Caenorhabditis elegans: one gene and its partner. The protein of the gene in region 1 purifies or fractionates together with the protein of each later gene. This does not show direct contact. Each region holds a gene or a part of one and is shown in the gene's direction. Other genes may lie near its edges.

Region 1 (9,268 bases):
ACAGTACGGAAGAATTTCTTGTGCACCGAAGTATGTTTCAGAGTTGTATGCGGGCGGGAGCTGAAAACAAAAAACCTAGATAACATAAGATATAGTATATTTACCGTTTGTTGATCAACAGAATAACTTTCTTTTGACGCTTGAATCATTTTTGACAGACATTGACGGATTGTTTCATTAAATGGATCGATCGCAAGAGCTTTATTGAAGAATTCAGTTGCTTTATCAATGTTGCCGAGAACTGCGTAACAGAGAGCAGTTGATGCAATGGCATCTACAAACTTTGGCTCCATTCGGATAGCTTTTTGATAAAACATGATTGCTTCATTCAGCCTTCCTTGCCGTCTGGCTATGTGGCCAATGTTATTGAGCATTGGGTGCCAAAAGTCGTCGATTTTCCTGAAAAAATGTTATTTTTCTCTCAAATAATCATCGAATTAGATACTTACTTTTTCAAGACTTCTTCAATTGGAATGATTTCATCGGTCTCTGTAACCATATACAAAACAGTTCTGAATAAAATATCGGCTTCCGCGTAACTTTTTGCAGTATAGGCTACACAAGCTTCTTCGTGACGAATCAGAGGGTCATTCGGTGCCCGAGCAACTGCTTCTCCCATGAACTTCTTGCTCAGCTTCTGACTATGCGTACTGTACTGAAGAGAAGTGTACAAGAACGGTTCAGAACTTTTATCCACAAGTTTCGACGCTCTGTAATAGCAACTCATGGACTGTTCGTGTTCAACTTCATAGTGAAGAATATGACCAAAAGCCACCCATCCTTCAGCAAACGTCGAATCCATCATCGTGCATTTACCTAAAGAAGCTCTATTTAAACCTCAATGAAATGGGAAACATACTGATGAAATTTCGAGCTCTTGAGTTTGCTCCAATACTATAATAATACATAGCAACACAATACCATGGAAGTGGAATATGAGGATCATCACTAACTAGTTGATGACCTAATTCAAGCAGAGATCGAGAATCCTTTAACATTGTTAGGCAGTGAATACGAAGAATAATGCACTCAGGATGTGGTCCAAATAGATCAAATAGCTCGTCAGTGATTTTTTTTGTTTCTCGAAATCGACCCATCTCGTAGGCACGTTGAGCACGTTCCATAAGAATTCGTGGATCATGATTTCCTTCGTGTAACTTCAGCTGTTCATTTCTGACTTTTCTGTACTTCTCCCACATCGCAGGCTCAACCAGATTGTATTTTGCCATTAATCGTTCGACATGGAGAGTTGTATTATCCTGAAATAATAAAACACGGTCAAATCATGTATAAAAGATGACTTACAAGACTCAGCGCGTAATTAATACAAATCATTGCAGCATCACGATTCATCAATTTCAAAAAACTTTCTGCTATGGTTATCATAAGAGCTGGAACCATTCTGAGCTTTTTAGAGCTATTATCCAATTCGGCCATATTTGCAAATGAGTACTTCATTCTTTCTTCCTCGACATATCTCCCCGTCACTTGTGAAAGTGTTCGAACAGGAAGAGGTCCAATTTGGCCATTACTTGGAAGAAGATGACCGACCGATAATTCAGCTACATCTTCGTATAATTTCCGTTGGAAAAGTGCGGTAGCGGCATAATAAGCAAAAACAATGTGAATCTGATGATAGTTCCCACGAGCAATAATATGGCTAATACGCCGCCATTGACGGAGAACGACGAGAATTTTTACGTATTCAGCGATGGTGACAATATCTTGCTGTTCATCATCAATTATATTAGAGTATAATGTATCCGCGTAAGCTACAGCTTCATCGGTTCTGCCGATTTCAAGCATTTCCCTAAAAATATAACATATTAATATATATGCTGGTCTCAAACTGACATCACTTTCTCCATGCTCGCCTCGTCATAATACTCCGATCCATCAATTCTACTTGCAAGTGTTTTAATCGGCTTGAAACGAATAGACTCGTGTTTCGGCAAATCTCTGAAAAATTGTAGTTTGAAAAAGAAATGTTATTTATTAAACTCACAAAGATGATGCTGGCTTGCTTGAGGAACCTTCATCAGCCAATGTCGGAATCGCAAAACTTTTTGTATCAGGCGAGATCGCGCTCATGCTGTAAAGGCTTCGTATATTTGTTTAGTAAGTAGAGAACTTAAGTTAAGCAACAAGAATTGTAAAATAGAAATTCAATAATGACGTTAATTGCAATGGAACTGTTGTGAAAAAGTGTTGAGATTATAGTCTTATTTTTAGATTATAATTTTACAGCTTACACGGAGTAGTTACAGCTACTTTAACTAAATAACATAAAGGCGCGCCTAGGCGCTTAAAAACAAAATAAAAAGGATTTAATGCTTGATCAAATTTAAATTTTAGCCGTAACTGCGGAGTCTCGTTGCTAATTGTCAATGGAGCGAACATACATCATCAAATTTTTGAATAAAATTGTTTCTCATTTTTTTCGTAAAATAAATGCCATTTTCAAAAAGTCTTTCACAAAATGCTCCCGTTTGATAATGATGACTCTAGCGATGATGCTACAACTTCTGTTAGGCCGAAGCATCCAAGGTAATTGAAATTCGGTGAGCAAACGGTAGTCAAATGAAACAATGTTTTTTTCCAGAGGAGTTCCTCAGAGTCAATCAACATTTCCACGTGGTAGATCGAATTTTTCGTCTGGAACTTTACCAAATCGAAAAACAGAATGCACTCCAGTGAACACCTTAACAATTGGGCATTCAAACAAGATGCTATTGACAACGTTTCGGATGGATCGAAATTCAAAATCTAAATCGGAAGTTGACGTACAAGAACAGCCTGTTCACTCTTCATCGTCGGCTTTTCCAGGAAATCATTTAAACAATTTTTCGTATCCAGTGAATCGTGGATATCTTCGTGATTACCTGCTACAGTCACAAAGGCCTTCTACTTCAAAACCAGTCGACTGTTCTGTTCTAAAACGGCACTCTCTCCCATCAACTCACATTCTTTATGAGAAAACGAAGCACAGAGGTGGTGTAAATATCGAAGAACAAGAAAAACTCGTGCGGATGTTATGGGCCGCTGCAGAAGAATCGGAAACAGTTGCGAAGACGAGACAGTTTAGTAAAAAACAGGCGATTGAGCTGAATTTCGATGCTAAGCTCATTGGCAGCATGAATAATGATTGCTTTGGATATTGCCGAGCACACATGGAAAATATAAAAGATGTTTTGAAAACACACTTGAAATTGGTAAGCGATTTTTTAATTGGCCGTATTTGAAACAATTTAATTTCAGTCTAAAGTTGACGAGGTAAACTGGATCAAGGTGGGGATGGTGCCACGAGCTGCGTACGAAGATAAATCATACGTCATCGATGCTCATTTAGTTTTGACGCCAAACGGTGAAGTAGAAGATGAAAATGAATTGTTCTCCGAGTTCGCATCAAGTTTCACATCTAGAATAACTGGAATGCTCCATGATCAAGTATTTTTGGAAGTCCCGAAAATGCATACGCTTTTCACAAAAATAACGTAATAGAATACTCATCCGCTTTTTATATACTCAAGTTATAATTTAGACCCCAACACATGGATATAAATATTTCTGCGATTGCGATTGGAAACTGCCCTAATTCAGGACTTTTCCTTGTTAGAGGAGATTTCATCAGTCAAGAAAACACAGTTTGTAGTGTGTAAGTTGCACATATTCTACAGAATTTCTAATCAGATTTTTGTTTTTAAGAAAGCTTCAGTCACACCATAATGCAGATGCATCCCGTGAAAACAGTTCATTCAAAGTGGCAGGAAGCAATAAATACCTCTCGTATGCGAGATTTGAGCATGACAAAAGACTGGCAGTGGTATATTTCGGAGTTCGATTAGCCGAATTCGCTGATGATGGTTTGGATCATGCCGGATTTCGTCTTAATCTATATTATAATTTGTTTGTTCGAATTGTTGTCGACATGTCTCATGAAACTACGAACAGTATTTATATACAAATGAAAAATCCACCGCATCTCTGGGAAGGAATTCCGAAAAATACGATTTTTCACCCATCAAAGTCGAAGGTTCTCAATATGGAAACGTGCACAGAATGGGTGATATGGTATGCAAATAACTTTTAAAAACTTGTAAATTTTCAGACAAGAGTATTGAGTTGGCCTGGCGATGCTGAGGGCCGAGGTGTCGGTTGTACTTCTGAAGCTTTCTCGCAAAGCTCCTGGATCCGGTTGACAATGAGAAAAGATGATGATAACGATTCGGTATCGTCTACACAATTGATGGATATTGTTACTAGACTTTCTGCTCGAAGCAAAGCAAAAGTGATGTTCGGCTCCATTTTTTCAATTCGCCGAAAACTTGCACCATCCCCGGCTTTCCATTCTCTGGGATCTTTCCGAGCGAATTATGCTCTCCAGGCTCTAATCACACGCGGAAGTGTATTTACGGACCAACTTTTCGACGCAACTGATGAAAATATTCCAAGTTCAGACAATGACAATGATGAAGATGATGACGATGATGTTGATGACACGAAAAAGCCAATGGAATTAGTACACGAGCCGCTCTTTCTGAAATTAGTTCGTAGGGGAATGAAAGAATGCTCTCAAGCCACAGAAGAGACTCTCGAACAACTTTTGAATGCATTTGATGAACGTCGTCAAATCGATGTAGTTACCGCGTTCACAACAATGTATCAATCAAGAAAGATTCAATACGAAAGACTTCTGAAAGGAGAAAGCCTTCAAGATGTAGGCCTTGCAAAGCCATTGCCGAAGAATTGTGTTTCAGTGGCTAAAGTTATTGTAACACCATCTCGAATACTGCTAATGGCTCCAGAAGTAATGATGGTAAATCGAGTTGTTAGAAGATTTGGACCTGATTATGCTCTTCGTTGTGTGTTCCGAGATGACAATCTGGGCCGGCTCGCTATTCGCGACTTTTCCATCAATAATATAGATCGTAAGAAATTCTTTAAATATTTTTAAATATATTATCTAAGTTTCCAGACATGTCGAATATTGTCACCGAAGGAATTTATTTGACTCTCAAAAATGGAATTCAAGTTGCTGATCGTGTCTACAGTTTTCTAGGATGGAGTAATTCTCAAATGCGTGATCAAGGATGTTATTTATACGCTCCTCGAGTCAATGCATTAACTGGTGAAGTCACAGGAACTGTAGAAGATATTAGAGTATGGATGGGAGATTTCCGAGATGCGATTAGTGTTCCAAAGATGATGAGTCGAATGGGACAATGCTTTACACAAGCACAACCAACGGTATATTCTAGTGTTAAAAATATTCATATAGTCGAAAATATTCAGGTACGTCTTGAACGACATCACTGGATCGTTGAACCTGACATTGAAGGTGGTGTAGAGAACAAATATTGTTTTTCTGATGGTTGTGGTCGAATTTCTATCAAACTGGCAACACATATATCTAAGATTCTCCAATTGAAGGAAGTACCAGCTTGTTTCCAAGTGCGATTTAAAGGTTTCAAAGGAATTCTAGTTATTGATCCAACAATCGATGATATTATAAATATGCCTAAAGTTATCTTCAGGTAGTGATGATCTATCAAACAAATTATATGATCAATTTTCAGAAAAAGTCAGCAAAAGTTTGGTGAAGGTGGTGGAGAGCTGCAAGATGAATACCTCGAAGTAGTAAAATACGCTATGCCATCTCCAGTTTGTCTCAACCGTCCATTCATTACAATCCTGGATCAAGTGTCGGAAAAACAATCTGCAAGCTCTCACAGAAGGATCACAAATCGTGTTCATTATTACTTGGAAAGAGAACTATGTTCTCTGAGTAGTATGTAGTTACTGTATGGTTACAAATCATAATCTCCTAATTTTAGATATGCTCATAAATGAAAATCAAGCAGCAGAAGAGCTAGTCAATCGCACAAACTTGGCAATCGACTGGAACGCAGCAAGCAAACGAGCCGGGTTCGAATTGAGTGTAGATCCATTGATACGAGATATGCTATTCTCTATTTATCGCTACAACATCATCCATCACATTTCTAAAGCTAAAATTTTCTTGCCTCCAAGTTTGGGAAGATCAATGTACGGTGTTGTCGATGAGACTGGACTTTTACAGTACGGACAGGTTTTCATCCAGTATTCACCAAGTATCCGACAAACCAGTAACCGTCCAATATTGAAAACAGGCAAAGTTTTGATTACCAAAAATCCGTGTCACGTTCCTGGAGATGTTCGAGTTTTCGACGCAGTTTGGCAACCAGCATTAGCTCATTTAGTCGATGTTGTAGTATTTCCACAACATGGCCCACGACCACATCCCGATGAAATGGCAGGTTCAGATTTGGATGGAGATGAGTATTCTATAATATGGGATCAAGAAATGCTACTCGATTATAATGAAGAAGCAATGGTTTTTCCGAGTAGTTCAGCTGCAGAAGAAGACAAAGAACCTACTACAGATGATATGGTTGAATTCTTCCTTCGATACCTTCAACAGGATTCAATTGGAAGAATGAGTCACGCTCATTTGGCTTATGCTGATCTTCACGGACTTTTCCAGTATGTTCCTTGAAATTATCCATGTTAAGCCAATATCTTATTTTTCAGCGAAAATTGTCACGCCATCGCGCTCAAATGTGCAGTAGCTGTAGATTTTCCGAAAAGTGGAGTTCCCGCGGAACCATTGTCAAGTTTCGAGCAATGCGAAATGACACCTGATTATATGATGTCAGGTGGAAAACCGATGTACTACAGTACCCGATTAAATGGACAATTGCACCGAAAAGCTCGAAAAGTTGAAGAAGTTTTGGAAGAATTTGAAACACGCGGGAGTGTATTCGAAAGAGAATATGATAAACTGATTTGTCCAGAAGACGTTGATGTTTTCTTCGGAAATGAAATAAAACTTGTACAAACATTGACTCTTCGCGATGAATACGTTGATCGAATGCAACAACTTTTGGATGAATATGGAATTGAAGACGAAGCTTCAGTTGTGTCTGGACATGCTGCAAGTATCAAGAGATTAGCTGGAATGGAGAGAGACGACTATTCATTTTATCACACTGATAAGGTCGTTGAGCTTCGTTATGAAAAATTGTATGCTGTATTTCGTGCAAAATTCTTTGAAGAGTTTGGTGGAGAAGAAATCAACATTGAGAATGATGGAAAGAACACTCGGTTGAAATGTACGAAGGCAATGCATGAAAAGATTCGGCAATGGTATTTCGTGGCATATGTGCAGCCAAAGATAAATAAGGCTGGAAGATGCATTGGACAGAGTCTTCCCTGGGTTGCTTGGGATGCATTGTGTGATTTGAGGCGACAATTAGTAAGTTAAAATTATGAAATAAATATATTAATTTTTTGTTGCAGATGCTCGATAAAAATGACGCAGTTTTACGAGGCAAATATCCAATTGCTGCTCGTTTAGAAGAGGAGATCGAAAACTCCATTGAAAGGCAGTTTGACAAGTTTCTCAAATTGAAAGATTTGATTGAATCTCACAAAGATGCGCTTTTCCTGAGACGATACGTATATTTTTATGGAGATCAGATTATAAAAATGTTGTTCATCCTGAAAGTTTGGCTTGAACGAGAAAATGTGCTCCCATCAAGTGTTTTGTCGATTTGGCAGCTGGGAAGACTTTTGATTCGTCTAGGGCTCGGAGATCTCCTGGGAAATCCCACTATTGATTATGAAAAAAGTCTTCTGATGCCAACAACAATGTTTCAGCAATGGATTTCGAAGAAAGAAGATGCAGATGAAGCTCCGATATTGAGAAATTTCGATATGGGAACAATGATGCTCGAATTTCTCAGATATTTGGCAAGGTAAATTTAAAAATCTAGTGTTGGAAAAATTTTTCAATATTTCAGTCAATCTTTCGCATCAGCTGAAAGCATAAGTCTTCGAGTTTTCTACGAAAAAGATATTGTTGAGCCAATACTTACTAAAAGTGCACAATGGATGCCTTTACATCTTGTAAGCTCGATCTTTAATATTCCAGATCTATCAACAAAAAACATATTCCAGATTGCATATCGTACATTTCATTCCATCGCTGTGTCTGGACGGTTTGATGCGCTTCATTTGGACGATGAGGATGCGGTGGATCAGATTACAGAAAGCAAGGATCCAATACTAGTTAACGAGTCATTGTTCTCTTCGAGAAACTACAACGATGATTATCCGATCAGTAGGAGTAGAATATTGCAATCTTTGAAGGTAAGTGGTTCGAAAATACTTTTCGTTTCTAGTGAAAAACTTTCAGGATTGGTCTGGTGTCAAAGAAATAATTCCTCGCGAAATCACTGGAACTCGGAAGTCTGATATGATCTATGTTACATCAGTTGGAACGGTTCTTGCACGACAACGCCTCGCTCGACTTTTACTTCTCAGTGGAGAGACAATTAGGGACGCGATTGCCAACAACGTCGTGCCGAATGAAGTACGCGACGAGTTCTTGTAATATAGATTTCCACTTATATCATGTTTTATGTTTTGCTTGTTTTATAGAATTTTTAATGATGAGACGAGTATATTTGTATGTGTAATAATGTTTTGATCTCGGTTCGATTTTCAGATAAATTTATTGGGTTTTTTTAAATTGGAAAGAAATATTATTTTAAATCACATATTCAAGCATCAACTGCAAATGGAGATTTACCACCTCTTGGCTTAGTCATTAGATAGAAAACTGTAAAAGTTCCGAAAACAGCAAGAAAAAGCATAATAGTACAAACAATAACAGAACAAAGTACAAATGTGATTGACCATTCCTTATTCACTGCATGAGTCCACGAACTTTCCATTTTCGGTTCACTTGTACTACTGCTCACAGTTGGATTCTTGCCAAGTGTGAACTTACTCCATTTATTCGTGTCGTTTTTTGTAGTTGTTCTAGAAGTTGATGTAGATGGAGTTGTAGTCAGAACAAGAGAAGATGACGTGGATCCAAAAACTTCCAGAATTCTTTTGTATGATGATTTTGATGAAGTGAAAAATCTAGTTGAAACTGATGTATAGGCATCGAGATCGGAGTTATTAAGGAAAAGTGCTCGAATTAAACAGCAAGCAACTTTTTGAGGTATTAGGATTTTGATATTATTTTGTGTTGAATCAAATGGTCGTCGAATTATTTGATCGTCCACTTTGAAAGTTATTGTATCATTTGATGTTCGAATCTGAAATTAATGAACATGGTTACATTTTTAGGTTTAGTCTTAGACTTAGGCGAAGGCTTAGGCTTAGGATTCGGTTTAGGCCTAGGCACAAGATCTTACTTTAATTCTTAAAATTTTTC
Region 2 (5,894 bases), 1.0 Mb from region 1:
TTACAGCCAAAATATTTAAAAAAAATTTAAAAATAATGTTTCAAACTAAAAAAAAACTTTGTTCACTTTTTTGTTGTATTTTCTAACTTTTTTGTTTTAAATTTCGAAAAAATAATCTGATTCAGCTCTGGTATCATCTGAAATCGTTGAACATACCATCATCATCTGGTAAGTACTCATAAGTTGCTGAAGCAATAAGAGGTTCAAATGCACTGCTCATCATCGCAATGCAATCATTGATCATTTTAGTTCGGAATGCGGAAAGTTTTGCTCGAGATTTCTGAAAATAAAAAAAAATTGTGAAGCATAAATTTTTCATTCTCACTTCTTGAATTTGATCAACATGTTTAACTCCACATTCTTGCATCTTTTTGCCAACATTATTCAGCGTTTTTGCAATGATAAATTCGATATCTCCAACGGCAATTAAAAGTTTTTTCGTCGTTATTTCATTATTTCCTTTCTTTTGTCCAGGTTCTTGAGCCAATTGTTGAGGTCTTTGTCGAATGAATAACCGATCGAAACATATTTTTATAGAAGTGATGAGATGTACGAATAGATCAATAATTGTGTCACGGAAACGTTCTCGAGAGAAAAGGCAAGCTTCTCCAGGATATCCAGAAATGGAAAGAGCATCACGAGTACGCGTAAGGCATTCGCAAATCTGCAATAATAGATAGATCTTAATAACTTCCGTTAAATGGAAAATAACCTCATTTTCATAATAATCAGGAAGAATTGTCTTTGTTTGTTGTGCTCTGTCAAGAATATCTTGCTTCCAGTTGATTCGGTGAGCAAGAAGAGCAACTCCTGAAATTTAAATATTTTATAAAATAATATTTATCATCTTTATTGTATAAAAGTTATACTCACTTTCCACTCCACAATCTACGAAATCGGAGAGCAACTTCAATCTGGCAGTCATACACAGTTCAACTAACGGTTGAACATGAGTAAGACTGAATTGATTTTCAAGCAGTGAAGAAATCAAAGATCTTGTAGTTTTTAGACTGAGTTGAAGATTTGAACGACTAATATCAGCAGGAACTGTGGGCCACTTTGCAAATTGATCTCCGTACTGCTTCAAGACCATATCAGGAAGAGCTTTGGGAACCAGGGCGTTCAGAATCAGCCACGATGAGACGTTTATGATGTTGGTCAGCATTTGCTGAAATTATTAAAATGTTTCAAAACTCTGCTTACAATACACTAACATTAATATCCTCCAATCGTTGAATGGCATCAGGAGAAGCCGTTGAGTTATGATATGTGTTGGCAAGTTTCCAAAATGAGGGAAGTTTGCTCAATAATAATTCAACCAGCGTTGTCACAAAGTTCTGTAGCTCATTGGTTTTCGTAATCAGGTGATTCTGCGAATTGATTCTCTGCTGATTTTCAAGATCCTCTAATTTAGCTTTTTCCAAAAATTGCGTCTGCATATCCCAGAGACTTTTCTCAAGCCAGACGTAATAAGAGGTTATACAATCCCAAGTAGGGTCTGATTCTGGATCCAGAATTTTTAGATATTTGATAAGTTTACTTTGTTCTTCATATGAGACTGGAGTATCGATAAGCTTTCGTTTCATTTCTTCCTTGAATACTTGCATTTTCTCATCGATCTCAGTCATCACTGTAAATCGATCAAATCATTTTTTTTATTTTTCAAAATTGAAAAATTAAATACGTACATTCTCTAAACAACGGAACATCTGTGTCTGCATACAACGATTTTGCTCTTGTATAATCATTGAGAATTGTAATATATTCACCCTTTTTCATACTGTCCTCAATTTTCGAAGAAAGGAAAAAGATGAACTTGAATCTGACAATGACTCCGAGAGCATTTCTAGTTGCGTCTGCATCATCTTTTCGTTTTAAGACATCGGCAAACACATTTTCTGCTTTCGATTTGGAGTCTTTGATCTGAAATTTAATTTTAATTAAGTTTATTTCATTTTTTTCATCAGCTATATACCAGTTTAGAAATGTTTTTTAAAGCGGCAAAATGATCAGCATTTTCTCCTTTTTCTAACGCTTGATGAAGATTTGCCAAAGTATCCACACAATTAATCAATGAATACAAGTTTGCTTTGTGCATTTCTTCACTTCTTTTCGCTTCATTTTGCTTTGATAATTCCATATTTTTAATAGCAATTCGTAGATCTTCGATTCTGAAATCCAAAAATTAATTAAAATTATTAAACAACTTTCTTACGTGGCGTCTGCATGATTCTCTAGAAGATACCATTGTGGAGAGAAATTTTCCATTCTTAAATTGCCAGAACAATCAGGAAAATCTCTTGAGAGAAGAACTTGATCCATTCGTTTCTGACTTGGAAGTAATCCAAGTGCATCTCTTTCATCTTGAATTTGTGGAACACTTCGAATTGCTTCTCTTCCTGGAACTGTTCTCGTTTCATCTACCCAGACTGCGGATTCTTCAAGTGGTCCGATTTGAGTAATGAAGACACGAAATTTGACATTCGAAGAGCCTTTTCCACCGGATTTTGTCGCTATTCGTACTTCACCGGGACCACGTGATGCTGCACCAACTCGGGCAATAATTTTTGATGGGGATTTCCATCTGAAAATTGAGCTTCGAGATGTAAATTAAAAGAATTCGAATACTCACTTCATACTCCACAAACTGTCGATTCCACATATAAAAAGCATAATCACATCACTCTGATCATTTCCCAAGTTTTCTCCTCTTATTGTTATTTGAGTTCCAGGGACTCCTGAAAAATTATGTTTATTTAAGACCGAAATCATATTTTCTAAATTCACCTTCAGTGGGCGATAGCCCTGTTACCGTAGGAGGTAGTCTTTCCCGAGCTTGAGCGTTTTCTTCCATTTACGCTTAAAAATTATTCAATTATAATCTGATTAACAACGTTAAAGTATCATAAAATTAAAATATTTTAAAATAAATTAAAAATAAATACATGAGCCACAGATTGTCCGAGTGGAGTACACACTGATTCAATAAACAAGGCGCTAAGCGGAATGCCGGAGCCTCGTTGCACAGCAATCGTTAATTTTTTAAATTTGAGCCACTCAATCTTAATCTCAATATTTTCAGTCAGTGTCATGTCTAATTACCATCATAATCACAATTATCAGCATCGCCCACGCGGATATGAAAGGCTTCCAGGAAAGAGACTCCCAGACAGGTTTTTTTACAGTTAATTCCATAATTAGTCCCAATAGTTCTTAATTGGAAATAAATCTCTTGAGAAAGTTTTTGATAATAATTGAAAAGGGTTTCTCTGTGTGTCAAATTTTTTAAAACTAAAAAAATTTAAAGTTTCATCACATACCTTTAAACTTGTTCTTTCAAAGTTTAAATATTATCGATTTTCTCTTCAGATGGAATATTTACGATAACGTCGGCCGTGATATCGATGGGACTCGATTTGTTCCATTCAAAACACCACTAGATTCATCATTCTTCGATGGGAAAAATATGCCTGTGGAGCTTCAATTTGGTGTAAAAACATTGATTTCTCTGGCACAACAGGCTAATAAACAAATTGGATTGGTTATCGATCTCACAAATACGGATAGATATTATAAAAAGACGGAATGGGCAGATCACGGAGTCAAGTATTTGTGAGTTGGAATTTTTTAACATTTAATTTAGAAAAATCGAAAGTTTATAGGAAACTCAATTGCCCCGGTCACGAGGTGAACGAACGAGAAGATCTTGTGCAAGACTTCATTAATGCTGTTAAGGAATTTGTGAACGATAAAGAAAACGGTAGATAATTTTTTTTGAACAAAATTAAAATTTTTTTATTCGATTACATTTGCAGATGGAAAACTGATTGGCGTACACTGCACTCATGGGCTCAACAGAACAGGATACCTTATTTGCCGGTATATGATTGACGTGGATAATTATAGTGCATCCGATGCGATTTCTAGTAAGTTTTGGATCCAATAACACATGTTTTATATAATTATTTTTCAGTGTTTGAATACTACCGTGGACATCCAATGGAGCGGGAACACTACAAAAAATCATTGTACGAAGCTGAAAGGAAGAAAAAATACGGAAAAAGCAGCGGAAAAAGCAGCGGAAACTCAGCCGATTCCACAATTTCGAGTGAACAGTTGCATCGAAATAATTCTCAATAACACCCAATACTGTTGTTTGTTCTTCTAATATTACTTGTCATTTAACTGTTACGTTCTGTAAATCCGAACAAAAATCGGGTAAACTTGTTATTATTTATTAATAGATTTCTTTCTGAGTACAACACATGGAAAATAATCACAGTTTTTTTTTGAATCACAACTTTTTCGCAGGAAATTACAATAAATTAGGGCGGAAAAGAGTCAACTTTTGGTCAAATCACAGAAATTGCGAACGTGAAGATGAATGGATGGATGTGGAGAGACGGTTGGAGTGAGAGAGAGAGACAGGTTTGGAAGTGATGAGACGCAGTAAATTATGCGACAAAAAATGAGGGCTCTAGGGCAAGAAATAACAGAATACTATGATGGGAGTGAACGGGAATTCAACGAGAAAAATTTAGGAAAACATGATTAAATGATAATTAATTATTCCGATAGCTTTACTCGATCTATTCCATCAAAATCGGTTGAAGTGGGAAGTTTTGTGGATGGTGAGAATAAGCAGCGAAGTTCGGAGCAGATAACTGAGAAATTTGTGATAATGGGCTCGTTTGAGGCGGTGGAGCACCACGATTGCGGAGCGTCAAAATGGCTTCTCCCGGACACAAATGAGTTGGCCAACGTGTGAATAGGACCTGGAATTGGTTTTTGTTTTAGCTTTATAAGAAACTTATGAGTAACTTACATTATCAACAGTATGTTCCGGTGTTGTGAAATTAGCCACCAGCTCAGGAACTCCGATGCTCATATGGATACCATAGATAATCAATTGGGTAACCTGCCCTGGCACAATTGGTGAAATTGGTGGAGATGGGTAACTTGACCAGAACTGTTGTGGTTGTGGTGCCTGTGGTGGCAGCTGCCCCATGAAACCCAATGGAGCCGGTGGTGGAACCTGATGTTGTTGACCAACCAGATGATGAAGGTTAAGCTCCTCAGCAGATGCTTGGAATACTTCGATGTATCTCTTCTTTTTGCCAACAGACATAAAGTTATTGTGAACTCCAGCAGCGCAGGCAGAAGCCGCTTGCTCATTGATCATTTGAATGAATGCTTCACCTGATGGATGACCTTGATTGTTGTATACCATATGAACACCTTGGAACTTTACCATTGTTGCAAAGTCACCAAGGAATGTGACGATATGTTGCACCTGGAAGAGCATTAACTTGTGTACTAGAAAATAAGTTTTATAAAAATTTCTCTGAACATATGTTCATTTAAAACCTGTCAGGTAGGTTTTTTCAGCGCAGAAAACAAAAAAAGTTTGGAAGAAAGAGTTGTCGCTGATCCCTGCCTACAATATGACTTCGCGCCTTCTGCCAAGTTACTATGAATGATACACTTAGAAATGCGAAAGTCTATACTATTGAGCACCAACGTTTAAACTTAAAAATGCAGAAAACAGGCAACAGTCAGGCAGGCAGGAAGGCGTACCTGCCTACTAGACTCACCTAAAAGTAGTGAACCTCTTTTTCTTACTTTTTGAGCTTATATCTCGGTCATGTTGGAGATATAGAAATCTTGATATTTTGATATTTTAATCTTTAGTTTTTTATCAAACAACTCCATACTCATATATGATAAAAGACCGTAAATTCCTAACTAACGCCCCACATTTCTCATCCCCCCACCTCTGCTCAACATTTGAATATTTGTCATCGGAACATATTCATCAGTAAGTACTTAAATACTCTTTTGTATTCTCACCTGTTGTAACTCACGGAGCTACAGCTTCATCATCATCAATCTAT

What was found. Proteins that work in one complex are often made in the same cells at the same time.
Region 2: the proteins of rrf-3 (region 1) and pir-1 purify together in Caenorhabditis elegans (affinity purification with mass spectrometry, with the first as the bait; one study listed by BioGRID). This does not show direct contact.

The regions. Positions count from the first base shown.
Region 1 is NC_003280.10:8,160,079-8,169,346, forward strand, and holds rrf-3 (RNA-directed RNA polymerase), read left to right. Parts: upstream 1-2,386; 5' UTR 2,387-2,479; coding exon 2,480-2,547; intron 2,548-2,602; coding exon 2,603-3,212; intron 3,213-3,258; coding exon 3,259-3,494; intron 3,495-3,541; coding exon 3,542-3,655; intron 3,656-3,705; coding exon 3,706-4,063; intron 4,064-4,108; coding exon 4,109-4,928; intron 4,929-4,975; coding exon 4,976-5,247; intron 5,248-5,292; coding exon 5,293-5,534; intron 5,535-5,576; coding exon 5,577-5,788; intron 5,789-5,834; coding exon 5,835-6,522; intron 6,523-6,570; coding exon 6,571-7,294; intron 7,295-7,338; coding exon 7,339-7,796; intron 7,797-7,841; coding exon 7,842-7,947; intron 7,948-7,998; coding exon 7,999-8,190; intron 8,191-8,236; coding exon 8,237-8,434; 3' UTR 8,435-8,573; downstream 8,574-9,268. Other genes in the region: emb-27 (Cell division cycle protein 16 homolog), read right to left, coding at 1-60, 105-399, 450-816, 860-1,259, 1,306-1,810, 1,855-1,959, 2,006-2,091; T05C12.11 (uncharacterized protein), read right to left, coding at 8,604-9,149, 9,249-9,268.
Region 2 is NC_003280.10:9,174,294-9,180,187, forward strand, and holds pir-1 (RNA/RNP complex-1-interacting phosphatase homolog), read left to right. Parts: upstream 1-3,044; 5' UTR 3,045-3,090; coding exon 3,091-3,173; intron 3,174-3,369; coding exon 3,370-3,612; intron 3,613-3,655; exon of another isoform or gene 3,656-3,662; coding exon 3,663-3,760; intron 3,761-3,815; coding exon 3,816-3,926; intron 3,927-3,973; coding exon 3,974-4,140; 3' UTR 4,141-4,340; downstream 4,341-5,894. Other genes in the region: sec-5 (Exocyst complex component 2), read right to left, coding at 157-280, 326-664, 713-810, 874-1,168, 1,215-1,630, 1,689-1,923, 1,976-2,171, 2,216-2,584 and 2 more; RNA-binding protein sym-2, read right to left, coding at 4,590-4,775, 4,826-5,293. UniProt on the Caenorhabditis elegans protein: RNA polyphosphatase which has RNA 5'-triphosphatase and diphosphatase activities. Displays poor protein-tyrosine phosphatase activity. Binds to 5'-triphosphorylated RNAs (also called ppp-RNAs).